Linked DNA regions of Lepisosteus oculatus. The protein of the gene in region 1 interacts with the protein of each later gene in a pairwise test. Links are inferred from orthologs where the notes say so. Each region holds a gene or a part of one and is shown in the gene's direction. Other genes may lie near its edges.

Evidence for each region. The genes of interacting proteins can lie anywhere in the genome.
Region 2: the proteins of leucine zipper putative tumor suppressor 2 homolog (region 1) and mab21l3 interact in binary tests that used the Homo sapiens proteins (3 or more experiments, as listed by UniProt). The two-hybrid records come from large-scale screens. The link is inferred for Lepisosteus oculatus from reciprocal best matches to the Homo sapiens genes LZTS2 and MAB21L3.

What each region holds. Positions count from the first base shown.
Region 1 is NC_090699.1:45,525,281-45,533,437, forward strand, and holds the start of leucine zipper putative tumor suppressor 2 homolog, read left to right. Parts: upstream 1-4,600; 5' UTR 4,601-4,946; intron 4,947-6,520; 5' UTR 6,521-6,906; intron 6,907-8,157. UniProt on the Homo sapiens protein: Negative regulator of katanin-mediated microtubule severing and release from the centrosome. Required for central spindle formation and the completion of cytokinesis.
Region 2 is NC_090710.1:33,056,645-33,064,433, reverse strand, and holds the start of mab21l3 (protein mab-21-like 3), read left to right. Parts: upstream 1-4,198; 5' UTR 4,199-4,303; coding exon 4,304-4,351; intron 4,352-6,012; coding exon 6,013-6,153; intron 6,154-7,020; coding exon 7,021-7,092; intron 7,093-7,576; coding exon 7,577-7,789.

The sequences.
Region 1 (8,157 bases):
CATAGTGCGCCAGAATGCTCACCACACATCAGCTATCAGTGGGGAGGAGAGCAGAGTAATGAAGCCAATTCACAGAGGGGGATTGTTAGGAGGCCATGATTGATAAAGGCCAATGGGGAAATTTGGCCAGGATGCCAGGGTTACACCCCTACTCTTTTCAAGAAACACCCTGGGATTTTTAATGACCACAGAGAGTCAGGACCTCGGTTTTACATCTCATCCGAAGGACGGCGCCTGTTTACAGTATAGTGTCCCCATCTGGCCCCCCTAGCACCTCTTCCAGCAGCAACCTTAGTTTTTCCCAGGAGGTCTCCCATCCAGGTACTGACCAGGCTCACACCTGCTTAGCTTCAGTGGGCTGCTAGTTGTGAGTTGCAGGGTGATATGGCTGCTGGCAGTAACTTTTCCGTAACAGAGTGCGCTGGTCATCTCCACAATCTGTGTGCTGGAGGAAAGCAGATGTGGTCCATATCTCTCCTGTGCTGGTACAGCCATAGAAGTCACCTGGACTGTAAAACTGGTGATTTTTTATTGTTTGTGTGTAAAATGTTAAAATAATTTATGTTGATTCCAAAATTAAGAAAGAAAAACTCCTGGGGACCCAAAACCGGGCTCTCAAAGGAACAGCACTGGGTGAGAATTATAGTTATTACCTCTGGCTGTGCAGCCTAGGCTTTACAGCTCTGGTGTGAATTGTGCACAACGGCTCATATGCAAATTCAATTTTCCAACTGTGTGTTATTAATATTAGCAATAATAAAATCACACTTGAAAAACAAGCTCTCAAATGAAGCGTGAAAATTGCTCTAAAGGGGGCAATGTTTCAGGACGTGAAATGTATGACATTCAGAATGAGGGTCATGGAGAGTTCAGCTGCGAAGGGGTTTAAGATTTAGACTGGTGTGGAGCTCAACACACTCAGCTGCTTCATAGGTGGTGTTAAAGGAGACATTACACCTGTGTAACTTTTTGAAACTGAAGTGTGGTTTAACATAACACAGAAAGTTGCGTGCTTTGTCTTAGCTTCTAACAAGGCTTGTTTGTCATTTCTAAGTTTTTCCCAAACTGTATAGACCACCAAAAGCGTTATCTACACATAACAGCAATCTGAAAATAAACAGCCTTTACATGAAGCCAGCTTTTTGTTTCAACAACTGGTCTCACAGTGCTGAATGAGGCGGAACGCAGTGTGTGGTTTGTGTGAAATCTGGGACAAGGGTTCTCACGAACATTCTGCAGAGGGAAATGTATTTGTTCTAGAAAAACTATCTGGAGTCACAAGGTGATATTCCAAACACTGCACCTCTCGGTCACCCTAAGAAATCAAGTTTGTTATTCCTCTTATTTAATTGCCAAGCACCCATCTCCATTTGCCCTGCTGAAGATATCACATAATAATGGACGTTTAAATAAAATCAGCCTGCCCTTCTGTTTATAGCAATGCTGAATAATGGCGAGACACCTATTCCCATCGGGAGTTTAACGATCGAAGACTGGCATGATCTTCATTATGCAGATCTTTTTCTTGTACATGAAGCTTCTAAAATTCTCTATAATGGATTTTAGACTCTCCAATTATTTTTGTTTTATGAGATTTAATTGCATTAAATGACCTAGACATGCCAGGAGATAGTTAATGACCAATCAGTCAGGATCTAAGTTTAATCTCTTCCAGAACACAGCATTCTCTTCATCACAGTGCTCATGGTCATCTTACATTGGTTTGCATACCCTGGTCCAGAAGGCATAGCACCACCTACTGGTCCACCTACTGGTCCACTAACACAGCTTATTATGGCAACCTAGTGCACCTGACTCTCCCAGCACTAACCAGGCACAGCCTTTCTGAAGTTCTGACATCTGGCGCAATCAGTATAGACCAAAGGCAGCCAACTTTGGCACCTGGCTTCCAAGTCATTCCAGGACTTTGAAGCTTTCAATACATCTAGTGCTGAAATGATTCTCAATTGCTTAATGACCCAGGTGCCGCCAATCAGTTTGAAAATAATAATAATAATAATAATAATAATAATAATAATAATAATAATAATAATAATTGCTTACACTAATATAGCGCTTTTCTGGACACTCCACTCAAAGCGCTTTACAGGTAATGGGGACTCCCCTCCACCACCACCAATGTGCAGCCCCACCTGGATGATGTGACGGCAGCCATAGTGCGCCACAACGCTCACCACACATCAGCTATCAGTGGGGAGGAGAACAGAGTCATGAAGCCAATTCATAGAGGTGGATAACTAGGAGGCATGATTGGTAAGGGCCAATGGGAAATTTGGCCAGGACGCCAGGGTTACACCCCTACTCTTTTCGAGAAACACCCTGGGATTTTTAAAAATGACCACAGAGAGTCAGGATCTCGGTTTTACGTCTCATCCGAAGGACAGCGCCTGTTTAAAATGATGGAATAGCTGGAGCACAGACCTACAGTGGCATGCAATCCAGATGCCAAGGTTGACTGCCACTGGGCTAGATGGCACTGATGCCACCGTCAGCCTGCTTTATCTGCCTAATCAAGGGCGACAACCCCTACACCAGCATGGGGCAAATAAGCAGAGACGGGCTCCTTCACCCAGCCCTTTGTGCACTGCCACGTGGGGAATTCTGCCCACAGCTGGGTAGTAACATGACCCGCCTTCGAACCCAGAGAGTCTTGGTGGTTGAAAATGTTATTGGTAAATGACAATAAAACCATGCCGAGGTGCTAAGACTCCCTGCTGCTGTCAATGTAGACTCACAACATCAGAAACCCTCAGGCCAGACGAATAGGCTCTCTGTCAATATAATTTGTTTGTCTCAGGGGTGTGAGAAAGCTGCTCTTCACTTTCCAATGCCAGACCAATCCCCAGGTCTCAGTCCTACCAAGAACTGGCAGCTCAAGTGGTTCAAAGCTCATCATCGCCCAAAGGGATTGGGCTGCAAATACTTACAAAATAAAGTAATGTAATGTGGTTCAAGTATGGAAATGCATGCTACATCCTGTTCAAACCGTCCTTTATATTTTCTGATACTAAACAGGAGCTGCAAATTCCATTAGAAATTCTTTAGAACCTGTAATAGATTGAAAGGTCACCTACAGTCTGAATAATGAATAACCCGGTAGTTACCAATCCTATTAAAGATTAATCATGATTAGTAACAAAACACTTGTCTTTATGTGCAAATGTGTTAGTGATTGACAACCGAGTGTTTATGTCTTGTTTGTTACATGTTTATAAGGTGTCATTTACAAGCCACAAAGCCACAGTGTAAGTAAAAATGCTATGTAGCAGGGTTCCTAATGTTTTTGGCTGATGAGTATAGCAGTTCAAACACTGAGATATTACCACTATGATGTTTTACAGATCATCAGGAGTGGAACTTGTTTTCATGAACAGATATATGACAGTTTGAAGTAAAATGACTTTATTAGCGTCAGCACAGAGGTGTGGTGGTTAGGACTGCTATTCCAACTTTGATTCTTGTTGAGGTACCTTCTATGTGGAGTCTGCATGCTGTCAACATGAGGTTTCTGTGAGTACTTTGGTGAGTTAGGTAGGTTAATGGGTATCTCTAAATTCAGGTGTATCCTTTCCGATTGACATCTACAGTTAATAATACAATGTCCTGTTGTATAATAATAATAATAACAACAACTTTATTAACCCTTTACAATTTCTTGCATTAGGAATTATCTTTTGGCATACCCCAGCTTGCTCTCCATGAGACACAGAGAGAGAGAGAGCCTGGGGTCAGAGCGCAGGGAGGGGAAGGGGTTGGGGTTAAGGGCCTTGCTCAGGAGCCCAACAGGGTAGGATTCCTCTGCCAGCTGCAGGATTTGAACCAGCAACCTTTTGGTCACAGGGGCAGATCCTTAGCCACAGAGCCACTGTATTGATTATTGATTAACTTTATTGATTGTTCCTTTATTTCTTCTTGTGCTTTGTTTCCTGAGCCACAATAGTGTGAGCTTCTTGGCCATGTCATTACTATAAAAGAGTATAAAAGAGTACTTATTCTAAATTATCTGGATAAAGATGATGTTTAATACCACTATTGCTAATAGTTTTCCTCTAATGCTTTAATATACTATAAAAAACAAAATAACATTTATTGAACCGCAATCTTACCCTAAAATACTGGATACCAAAACTTACGTGTTTCCCGATTCTTATTTTCAATAAAATAGCTTTCTCAAAGAGAAACTCGATTTTAGGATAACTGGGATAAGCCGTTTATTATCTACAAAACGTTACTCGTGGGAACAGACCATTCTTAAATGCTTGGTTTATATGCTTTTCTGTGTGTAATCACCCGGAATCGACAGTATGAGCTCGGGTGGGAAAAAAAATGGCTAATTTAAGCATTTCAGCGAAGAATGGGATGAGACTGAAAATACTTTTGCCAAAGTAAACGTGATCTCTCGGGTTTTTCATTCAGATTCATACAGGTACTGTATGAATCTGAATGTACTAAGATGAACAGACGATGTTCAATGCGAGCATTATTTTGTAGTGGGAACAATTTACAGTGTAACAGCTGGCTTCTTCAGGACGCTGAGGTCGGCAGTCCGCACCCCCCTGCGGCCCCCCTCCCCCTGCCCGAGCCCCGGTGTGAGGGAGAGCAGGCCGGCTGTCTCTCCAGCCAGCGGCGGTGCGCAGACCGGTGGGGGCTGGGTCCTGCCGGGAGACGAGCGAAGGCGCTCGTGTTTGCCCGTCAGCTCCACAGGGAAGTGCAGGGCGATGGGAAGTCTGGTGCTGTGAGAGTCTTCGCTCGGACCGCCGCGAGGCTGTTCTGAAACTTGCTGGCAGACCCACAAATTCCGTCACAATAAAACTCAACACCGCGGATTTCGCATGCCTGGGAACTGAACTCTTCCCCTCTCTCTCTACGCTCTTTGCAAAAGTACGGTCTTGGATCTTCGGATGAAGACTTGCGTGTACTAGTTGGTAAGTTTACGGAACCAGTTTGCTTGTTGTTATTTATTTTGATGTAGCTAAATCATTTGATTACAGCTCGGGATTGCCGGTGTACCATACCTGCACTGTTGTCAGGTCTACTTGGAGGCAGAAACTTCGAACTAAACGCTGTTTATCATCACGTTTACTTAAAAGCACCACACCACACAATAACGCATAAGTATATATAGAAACTCTTCAGCGATTTTGCTATTTGCTGTAGTGTTGTTTTCTGAGCAGTGAAAGCACGAACAAAACAACCGGTTTTAGTTTTACAACATCGTGTGAGACTCCAGGCTTCGCAACAGATCGGAACAGCACCGGCGATCGCAATTGCATGTATTGAAATGTGTTATAAGGCTCTTACTAAGGGGCAGATTAAAAATATTGTTGAGGAACTCTCCACACTTTGAAGTGCGTAATTATGTGCTGTCGAGTTCTCGCGTCGGGATGGAAGGAGCCCTTTGATGGTGCGATCAATATCGCAGTACGATGTCTTTATCTTGGGGTTTCGGTGCCGCGGTATGGCTCGGCCGGTATTTTAAAATCCAAATGAAGACAGTGGCGGTGTTTTTGATCAGAGTGAAGTGGGTTGGGTCGCGAGTCGACACCGGCAGAGCGCCGGAGTCAGCGGGGAACCGGCTGGTCACCGTGCGGCAGAGCGGCGCTCTCCGTGGGTGTCACGGTGCGCGCTTAACATCCCCCGGTAATGTTTAGCCCCCTCCTTCCGCAACTGAGCTTGTAACGATCGGGAGAAGGAATGTGCAATTAAAATCTTTCATTTGGGATTACTCCCCTAGATGCTTTTAGTAGAGGCTTGAGTAATAGAAAGTTAGGGACTAAAATTAACGTGTTGTATGCAGCTTGCCTATTTCATTGGGTTCCTAATATTGTAAAGACAAAACTACAGCTTACCATGCACATTCATTATGACTGTTCCATTAAAATCCGAGATAACGTTCAGTGTTCAGGTCGCGGTTTTGCGCTTTGAGATCAAGCGCAGTTTAAAATCCGCCCTGTGGTTTCTTCTGCAGTGCCGTCAAATGGCGGTAGAGGGCGATGTCCTGGATCTGTGAGGGGCAGTGAGAATGATTTGTGCCTACTCCGCGTCGTGCAGAAAATCCCTCTGACCTTGAGCCCGGGTGGGACTGTCTTCACTCGCTCTACTGAACAGTTAGGAAATCCACACTGGAAGTCATACAGAGCCCCACCATATTAAAATAAATATCCCCAAACTCGAGCTGTTTTTTTTTGCCCTACATATTTCTGCACCTGTGGTACATCTGCTCCAGCTTTGGGCTCGAGCGTCTGAGTCAGGCCTTATTAAGAACAATGCTTGCTAACAGTGTGGTACTTTTCAAGCTGGGTGCAGGGTTGTCAACTCTCTAACAATGTGGAACAGAATGTTATGACAATGACTTTGAGGTACAAACCTTTACCACAGTAAGGACAGGTTACTAAAATACAAGAAAGAAGACTTTGCTACATTCCACCATCCTTGCCTCTGTGACCTCACACGCAGAAGGGTTAAAGGAACTCAGTCTCTTTAGTTTTGTTTATTATAGGTGTGGACAGAACCGACCCAGATGACTTCTTCAAGCTAAACAGTGACCCAAATGTAGAAGGCCCTTGTTCTAAACACACAGTCTGCCGGACAGAACAAGCTGTCTGCTTTGTTGTTCAAGTTGACTGCTGGCAGCCTTCAGGCAGTAGCTGGACGATGACCTACAGTGCTAAAGCTCACCGGGGTGCCCCTGTGTAGCCCTTCTGCTGGCTTTGTGAGATGGCCTGGCTGCTGAGTGTGTGAAACAGTGGCATGACAGCAGAAGCCCTTGAGTTGCTGGGACGCCTTCAGCCCTGAGACTCCTGGGAGGGCTCTTCACCTCCAGTGCTGAACAGAGCGAACCCTGTGATCACAGACTGGCCAAGGTGTCACTTGGAAAAGGAAAATGTAGGTGTTGTTTGGTGCCTATCGGACAAGGACACAAGAAGCCGGTATCATATTTTATTTATAGCCTTTTTTTTGCAATAGATTAATGAGGCAGTGTAAAGTATTGCCTTAAAGGGGAATGCTCTGTGGTACCAGAGCCCTTGACGGCAGCAAGCTCTTCCCATCTGACTGATTCCACCTGTCAGCTCAGGTTTATCTCTGGCCCACTTAGCATTTAGAGAGGCTGGCCTTTATAAAACCCGAATCTTCAGTCTCCCTACCACAAGCCTCTTATCAGTGGGTTTCAGATGCTGGTTTCATTTAGGGCTGAGCAAAGGGCTGTTATCCTGCAGCTGTGCTACAAAGACAGAGAATAAGTATTCTGTTTCATCCCCTACCTGATCCTGCACGGCACCAAAGGGTATTGTGTCAGGCTGGACAGTGAAATACAAGTTGTTAAAGAACAGTGGGATTCTTGAACATTGCAGGAAATCCTTGGAAAATGACAGCTTAATTCCAAGACTTGGAAACCTAATGAGGAAGGGTGGAATGGAGGAACAAATAAGTTTTGGGTGACAATGTGTTAACAGAATCATGGAGTTGTGGTGCTGTCTGTTGAAAAAGACGTATATTGTTATGATTTATTGAACTGATGACTTTAGGAAGGCATGATCTACCATCTGCATTGTAAAGGCCAGCAGTTTAGTTGCTGTGGTCTTGTGCAGGACTGACGTCCCATAGGCACAGTATAGTGTGCACAGTGACAGTGGAGCAGCAGGGCAGAGTGCGCGGGGAAGCGGGTGATTGCTGGGTGAGCAGAGAGGAGTTCTGAAGGATGTTATTAGAGAACTGCAGTGCGGCACAGCGGACGTGGCAGTGGAAGGCTGCGAGTTCTAATCCCAGGCGGGCTGCTGCTGTGTCCTTGAGCAAAGCGCTTCACTCACATTCACTTGTTGTAAATTGTTAAGTAAGGGCAGTGTGTTGATCGTCTGGGCTGATGACCAGGCTGTACGGTGATGGTGAAAAGGCTACCAAGAATGTTCTGGAGAAATTGTGGGCAATTTCATTGGATGGGGAGTTGAAAACCTAAAAAGGGAGGCTTTTGAAATATTTTTTATGCATCTACTGCTTTATCCAGTTCAGGGTTGCGGGGGAGCTGGAGCCTATCCCGGCAGGCAGCGAGCACAAGGCAGGACAGTCCATCCCTGCACGGGACGCTGGTCCATCACAGGGCACCAAATGATTCCTTCTCTCATCGCAAATCTTCTTTCT
Region 2 (7,789 bases), on another chromosome or scaffold:
TGTTTGACAACAATGGCTGAGTAGCCTATTCTGAACTTCCATAACTTCTCCTTAGAACGTCTGGCTTGTGTTTCAAGTTTGATTCTGACTATTGCCAGTGCCTTTGAATGCTTGAATCGGGTCTCTTTGTAAGAGTTCATTGCTCAGTACTTTTATTCCTCAAAGCACAGAACCATACAGTATACCTGTACCTGATTCCAGAGTCATATCAATTTTGTAATTAACCAAAACGGAGCACAAAATGTGAAATTAGGTCTTACTACTGCATTCTTTAATTTTAAGTACATTTTACAGTACATTGTACAGTTTTAATCACATTTTGAAACAATTTGTCTTTTTCATTGTCCCCCCAGATTTTCTAAAAGATAGAAATAGTGTCAATATAATCTTCTGAGTCAACATCTAAGTGTTTTCAATAGATTGCTCACTTTTGAATTGTCTCTAAATTTTCCTGTCTTTTCCCGCAAATCTACCTATTTTGGTATCATCTGTGACCATGATTTATTGATTAATTTTGCCAGAATTGAGAACAGTGATATAAATTAAGAATAACTGTGATCCCTATACAGATTCATGTGAATTAAGACCAAAGTACAACATTTGCAACTATGTTATTTTACCAATAACTAATATAAATTAGAATAATTTAAAATCTGTAGCATATTCCCAGATGTACAGGGACTGGCCACAGTTAGAACACCAGTATTAATAAGGGAAGGATATTTTTCTGAGACTGAAGCCTATACAAGCAGTCACACAGATACATTATTGCTTCATGTGAGTTAATACGTTCCTGCTGGAAATGGGGGCGTAATCAATTCAGTGGCTTTGAGTACAAATTTAGAAAAAAAAATCCTCTGGTCAGAAGTCAATGGCATCGACTGTGTCAGATCACATTACTGTGCTCAACCGCTGATAGTTTCCTGTTTTTCCTGCTTCAGAAAAGTAAGCCAACTGTTAAGTTCATTGAACTGTTCTGCATGCTATAAAATGGAAATAGTCAGGCTTATACATCAGCCTTCTTAAAAAGTGTACTAAATGCATAGGGGCTGATTCACACAAGGCTGTAGTGTGATAGGACATGTATAAGCTCAAGGGGAAACAGCATACACACAAACCACAGACTGAAGTGTTTCCAAGCCCTACATGCATGTGCATGTTCTAAAAACAAATTTCATTTAAATGTTATGGCTCTGCTAATTGCACTGCAAGGCATTCAAATGATGTTGAAGGACAAAGTAACCAGAGTCATGATATGCGCTTGCTATTCGCAAACACTCTGTAGATGGAGTGCCTAATTTACACATACATTTGTACAGATGATAAACAGGTAGAAGGGGCTGAGATCCTTCTTATAAAAAGGAAAAAGAAACGTCCACATCCTGAATGCTCAAAATACATGGATATTTGTTGAATAAGAAAAATCTTGCTATATTGCCAAGTCTGCATCAAACTTTAAGTTAGCACAAGCACTTTAAATTACAGCATAATGACACAAAAACATCTGGATTACATTTTGCAGGGCAGCGTAGTGTTCACATTTATTTAACAGTTCATTAGTTAAATTGTACTTTTCTGTGTTATTTTATCCTCTGTGCATTGGTAGTCACCATTATTTTACTGTAAGACTGTGAAATGCCAGTATTTTAATCATTGCAGATCTATTAATACATATTATGTGTTTGCATTAAACTAACCTAAAGTAACACTTTAAGCACCCTAAACAGTAAGTCATGATTATTCTAAAAATAAACCTTTAATGGTATTTATTGGGAGTTTACAGTTGTTGACAACACAGTCAGATGTTTTAGGCTAGCTGCTCTTTATGATCAATTAGACTAAATCCCAAATCATTGTGAGTCACTCTAAGTGACTGTTGTGGACTGAACAGCGCAGAGGTTGCTATGATAAAATGTTCCCCTGGGTCCAAATGCTAGCTTAATTTGTTATCTGTTTCCATTTATGTGTTTTTGCTGTACCCATGACTTGACCTATAAAAGGAGTTTTTTCCCCATCTTTCTGTCTAAATGCTGTTTTTCCCCATTACTTCAAAAATTCAAAATACAATGTATCATAATGTTGGACTGTAAAACAGCAGATGTTTCCTCAATAAATGTTAATTAAATTTAAAATGGTTATATTCTCATTAAATACGACTTAAGACAAATAATAAACTGATGAATAAACTCTAGCTTTTTGACAGAGTACTGGACAAAAGTTATTCACTATAATTCCACCAGGATGTAAATTGGGTGCACTTTGGAAGTGATAAGTTATAAATGTGCTGTACTGTATATGTACGTGGTTAAGTATAGTTTGCCTAAGCTGAATACTGTATATACAGTATGGTATGTAGTCTGGTATATTCAGCATATGACTATCATTCCATTACTATATATTTTAAATTATTGCTTAGTTAAGAACAACACGTTCTTTGTTTAATGTAATTTTAACGTAACATCACACATGCCATTTAGTTAAGAAACCAAGAAAGATAAATACTTTAAGTTTGGAGTTACCTATGTTTTTAGTTTTCATTTCTAATTGTAATAACAAACACCATGAATAGAATATGAGAGACATGCTTTCTAACTGTGCCATACACATTTTTGCTCACAGTCTTGTACGGATTTCATAAATGTAAAGAGCTGATGTTGATAGAATAGGACTTAAGTGTTTCTAATCGGGTCTAAAGCACAGTATTACTGTTGATTTGTTACCATTAGTTCTCACCTCCACTGAAATCATGGTCCCACAGTAGTGAGTTTACTGCCAATCCAGGTCTTCTGGTCTGCTGTTGGTCTTCAGTTTTCCTGTTTGATGCATTCGGGACCCTTTTAAATTTGAACATATTAGTTTTATTATTATTCTCTGTCAGCCTATTGCATCATTTGTTTGTTTGTTTGTTTGTTTGTTTGTTTTGGTGTGAACAGGTACTATATACTGTACGCCAGAACATCCCATGGGTGTAGTCCCACCATGGTTTGGTTCACACCACACCTACTGCAGGTGTCCTGTTTTCCCATGTACATAATGTAACCTGCACGTTTGCTGTATATTTAGAGACATTCGGTGTTGACTAGATTATCGGAATATAAAGTGGTTTATGATATTTACATTCTGCTTAATGAGCTTATCTGGTTAAGTCTGTTGGCTACAATGATTTCCTTTTATGATGCTATAATCTGGGTTTTGCTATAATCAGTCTCTGCTCCTGTGTGTGTGATCACAGATTTGTGGGTTTTGTAAGTCTAACTAGATATTGTACTGACTATGCATTCCTATATTTTCTATATTATAGTTTTACAAGTTATCAGTATCCCCTTTCCCTGACCTTTCTGTTTGACTCTGTTCATCTGCCTCTGCTGCTCTGTCGCTCAAGTGGAGTTAAAGCTCCAGTAGCTGTTTTTGTAGGTCAGGTCAAAAGTTGTGAAACCTCAGATTCCAACAGATCTTGGCAGGTGTTTATTTTCTGCCTTTAGGCATCAGTTTGAATAATATACTGGCTTTGCTGTAAAGAATTTTTATCTCGTTCACATTCCAGTTTACAATATTAAAAATATGTAAAGTGAAGGAACCTGTTCTCTTGATTGTTGCATTTTGCATGTTATCGTCTTTCTAGGTGACAGAGCCTTTGGTGTTGAAATGTTAGCTGATGCCACTGTGAAAGTTGTATCTGCAGGTATAAAGAGGGCCAAAGGTCAAACAGAACAGGTGAGATAATAGTCTCCGTAAAATGTACTGTACCTCAAGTTAATGTTTCAGATTTCCACATAACTATGGTAGTATTCATAAAGCTAATCAATGTTAGAGAAAGTTTATTCACGTTCAATACCTTCAGAATGTATTATAGTTTATTTACTCTCAAACACCTTTCTATTCTCTGTATTTATTGTGCTAAGTATTTTTTATTATGTATTTATATATTATATGGAACCAATAGCATACATAAGCATGACGTACCTGTATATGTTAGGAAAATTGCATTGTATTTAAAGTGATTTTAGTAACTGGTTGCTAATGTTCTGTGTTGTTTTAATGGGTGATAGTTTGATAGTATGATTTGGAGGACTAAGGGACCATGAGAACACATTCATTCCTAAAGTCAATGGTGTTTAATCAATAACGTAATGTTCAATTCCCTTTTTTTGGCTTGGTGTTAAACGCATTGCCACATTGAAGCTTGTGGTGAGTGAGATACACATCTGTGAGAAGCAAGATTATTTACCCAGAACAAAGCAACAAGAATCACACAGAACTACAGTAAGCACATAAGTGAACCAAAATACAAGCAGAGTGTGAAATGACAGGTTTTACAGAGGAAGACTTGGACAACTTCCTACAAAACCAGGTAAATAATCTGAAGTCTTTTTTGGAAAAAAATATTTTAAAATGATTTAATGTTCTCTTTCCCTCTCTTGTGTCTCTTTTGGTTAAAACATTACTACTTTATTTATACAGTTAATGCAGTATAATATATAATATAATATAATAAATTGGCTCAGGGTGTGGTAAGATTGTAATCTTAATAAATTACATAAAATTATATTATCAGAAAGACTATTTTATCAGGTTTCTTTCTAAAATGATTAGGATTGTAGCTGCTCAATATACAACAATGTGTAAATGTGCTGCATGATGTGTACAGTATTTATGTATTTCATTGATTCTGCAAGAGTGACCAGTATTGTACTAGAGGATTGCAATGTGGTGATCAGTATTTTATTATCCAATAGTTGATTTGGTATCAATCAGGAAATATTTGCATATATGCATTACAATGATATTTAATGAAGAATTAAATATAAGGTGTGTCATATTGCAAGGCAAGTTCCAGATTATTTACCCAATCCCAATTACCAAATTTTATATTAAGCAAATACTACCCAATTACCCAGTCTATTTTAACCTAATCCTTTAATTAGTCTCAACTTTCCTTTAATTTTATTTGAGCAATAAAAAACATTATTTTGAACACCAATTAAGGATATGACTTTATGAAATATAAAATTATCTAAAACAGGTAACAGTATTTTTTGTATGGCTAGATGTTGCATTTATCACTCTAATACTAAACCTTTATTTTATACACAGTAGGGTCTTTCATGCCAATACATCAGTACAGATGTAAACAATCAACACCTCATAAAAAAAACATGTTGAAAAAAGAACAAAATATAAAAATAAGTATGAGCTAGCCTTCGAAGATAAATAATGTACTGTATATTCCTTGTATAAATGTAATTTATCGTTTAAGAAAAGAAGAAGGTGATTGATGGAACAGCACTTCAGAAACTTAAAAATAACAAATGTTTGTCTTTTTCTTAACCCAGAGTTAGAGTGGTCATGTGGAAACTGTGGTAATGGAAATTGTATTACAACTGCATGTAAACTGAAATAAAATTAATTAAATTCAGTTTTTGACTTAAACTTTGAATATCATAAATACCTTATTCAACATGTTGATCAAAAGTCATTTATCGTAATTCTAAACTTCATTTAAAGGTACATGTAATGCACACCCACCCTAGCTTTTTTGATAACCTACAGTATAACATTTGTTCTGCTTATTTTCCTTTCAAGCTGAAAAATAACGGTTCAGTCATTAAGCCCCTGCTCTGTCTCGTGAATGACATTCTTATTGTATCATAACATTGGTTTTGTTACATTACAACAAAACAAATCATATTCTCAACTCTGCTTTTTTTTTGCTGGTAGTCAGTACGTCCAGTTAAAAACTTTCTGATAAAATGATTTACGTTTTTTAGTTTGCATTGCTGTTGTATGTCACACCGTATTGTATGAGTAAACTTTATCAATGTAATTGTGGGCTGAGGAGGTGGCTGTGTGATAGGTTTTGGGCCGAGAGGCAAGAATGGCAAAGAATAATGTTCCTGGAGAGTTTGCTATTGGCCGACAAACTGAGAACATGCCAGCAGCTCTGGCACTTTCCCAGCAGAGGGAATGGTAGGTTTCCTGTGGCCTTGTGGCTCTGAATGCCCCTTTCTGCAGGTGGATCTCCGACACCGTCAGGTGTCCAAGACAGTGGACGAGGTTCAGCAGATCATCAAGGACCTGACCTCAGAGGTGAGCACCAAGGATGGCCGATTTCAGAGCATCTCCAACTCTGGTGTCCACAATGATAATATAAAGGTACATTTTATATATCCTTTTTGGTACATCTGTATAACTTGTTTACCATGTTACCTGAGAAGCAGGGTAGTGCCTCAAAGGTTGGACCCAAATACTAGCCACAGATTAATAAAGGACATTCGTAATGACTGTAATGTATTACTGGAAGAAAATAAGGTAGAAGAAATTCAAATTAATATTATTGTATGTGCCTACATTAGTATTTTACAATTAAGAAGTCTGGCTTATACCAATTCTGCCGTAAATGTATTTTGTTGCATTGCTGTAATAGGAGTAAAGAGGTTGTCACAATTACAGGCACCATCAACAGCCTTAACTAGATCTAAATCCAGCACATTCGTATTGACAGCCCTGTAATTAGAGTGTGCAGTTGCAAAGCTCATGCCAGGCACTCTCTGGATCTTTTATTTGCTTTCAGTCTCCAATTTCAGAGTTTTGCCATTTTCGGATGTGGTTTCTTCCTCTCCCTAGTTTTAATTCCAGAACAGTCCCTTCAACACCCCTCCATAGAGGTTTTCTTAAACTGCCAGCATGCCTGTCTTCTTTGTGTTTTTCTTTCTTGGGATTCCTGCTGAAAAGAATTGTTTTTTGTGAAAATCAAATGGAGACCATATTATCTTTGAAACCCAAATTATCATGTACGTTAAAATGGCCAGTGTTTATTAGAAGTTCTATAATAACTGCATACTGTAGAATGTCAATTTTGGGGCACAAGTATCTCCAAAGGGGTTATGTTTAAGGTAGTAAGATGTACAGAATTTCAACACGTAACGGTAGCTGTAGCTTTACTAAAAATGCTGGTTTAAAAACCCTGTTTACTCAATACTGTCCTCTTCTCTGACTCTCTGACTTCACCATGCTTGCCAGGATCAACCTGCTCTAATGGCCAAATGGGCAGCTCTTCTGAGGGGAAAATGTGCATTCAACCCAGCCATCCAGGTAGTGTCTCGTGTCTAAATCAAACCATTTCACTGGAATTTCTGACTGTAGAGAAATACCTGTACATTTCCCGTGAATCTGTCCTGACATTAATGATATTAATATAATTAATCATTGGTACTGTTTTCTGGAATTGAAACACTGTGTACACTTGGAAGGCCACACAGTTTCTGTCCCACTGATTGCTGTATGAAGCCTTTTAGCTCTAAGTTCATTTTTACTTTTAAGCACTTGCTGTTTTGCATTTCTTTTTGTTGAAAGGTGTACACTGTCAAGTATAATCTCATACGCTGTATATTGTACATGTGCGGCTGAGCTGAATTGTATTAATAGAATCTCCAGTATTATAAATATTAGAATGACGTGTGTCAAAAAGTGTGTTTTGCTTAACAATATATTTTCAGTCTCTGTTGTTTTTGAAATGCCGAAGCAGACTTGCTCTCGAACGGCGTGTGCACTTTCTCAAGCGGTGCTGCTCCTGCAGGTCCTCACGCCCGCCCTGTTCCTAATCTCGGTGCCGGTCAGGGGCCTGTGTGGGTACAAGGAGCGCAGGGCCAGGCAGTGGCGGTACTACACCCTGAGCGGCTCCAGGCTGCTTTCTCCAGTGCGTGAGCCCGAGAAGCTGCACCAGTGGCTGGAGCTGGAGAACTTCTGCAGCCCCTCGCAGGAGTGGCACGACTCCAGAGTGGCCATTGAA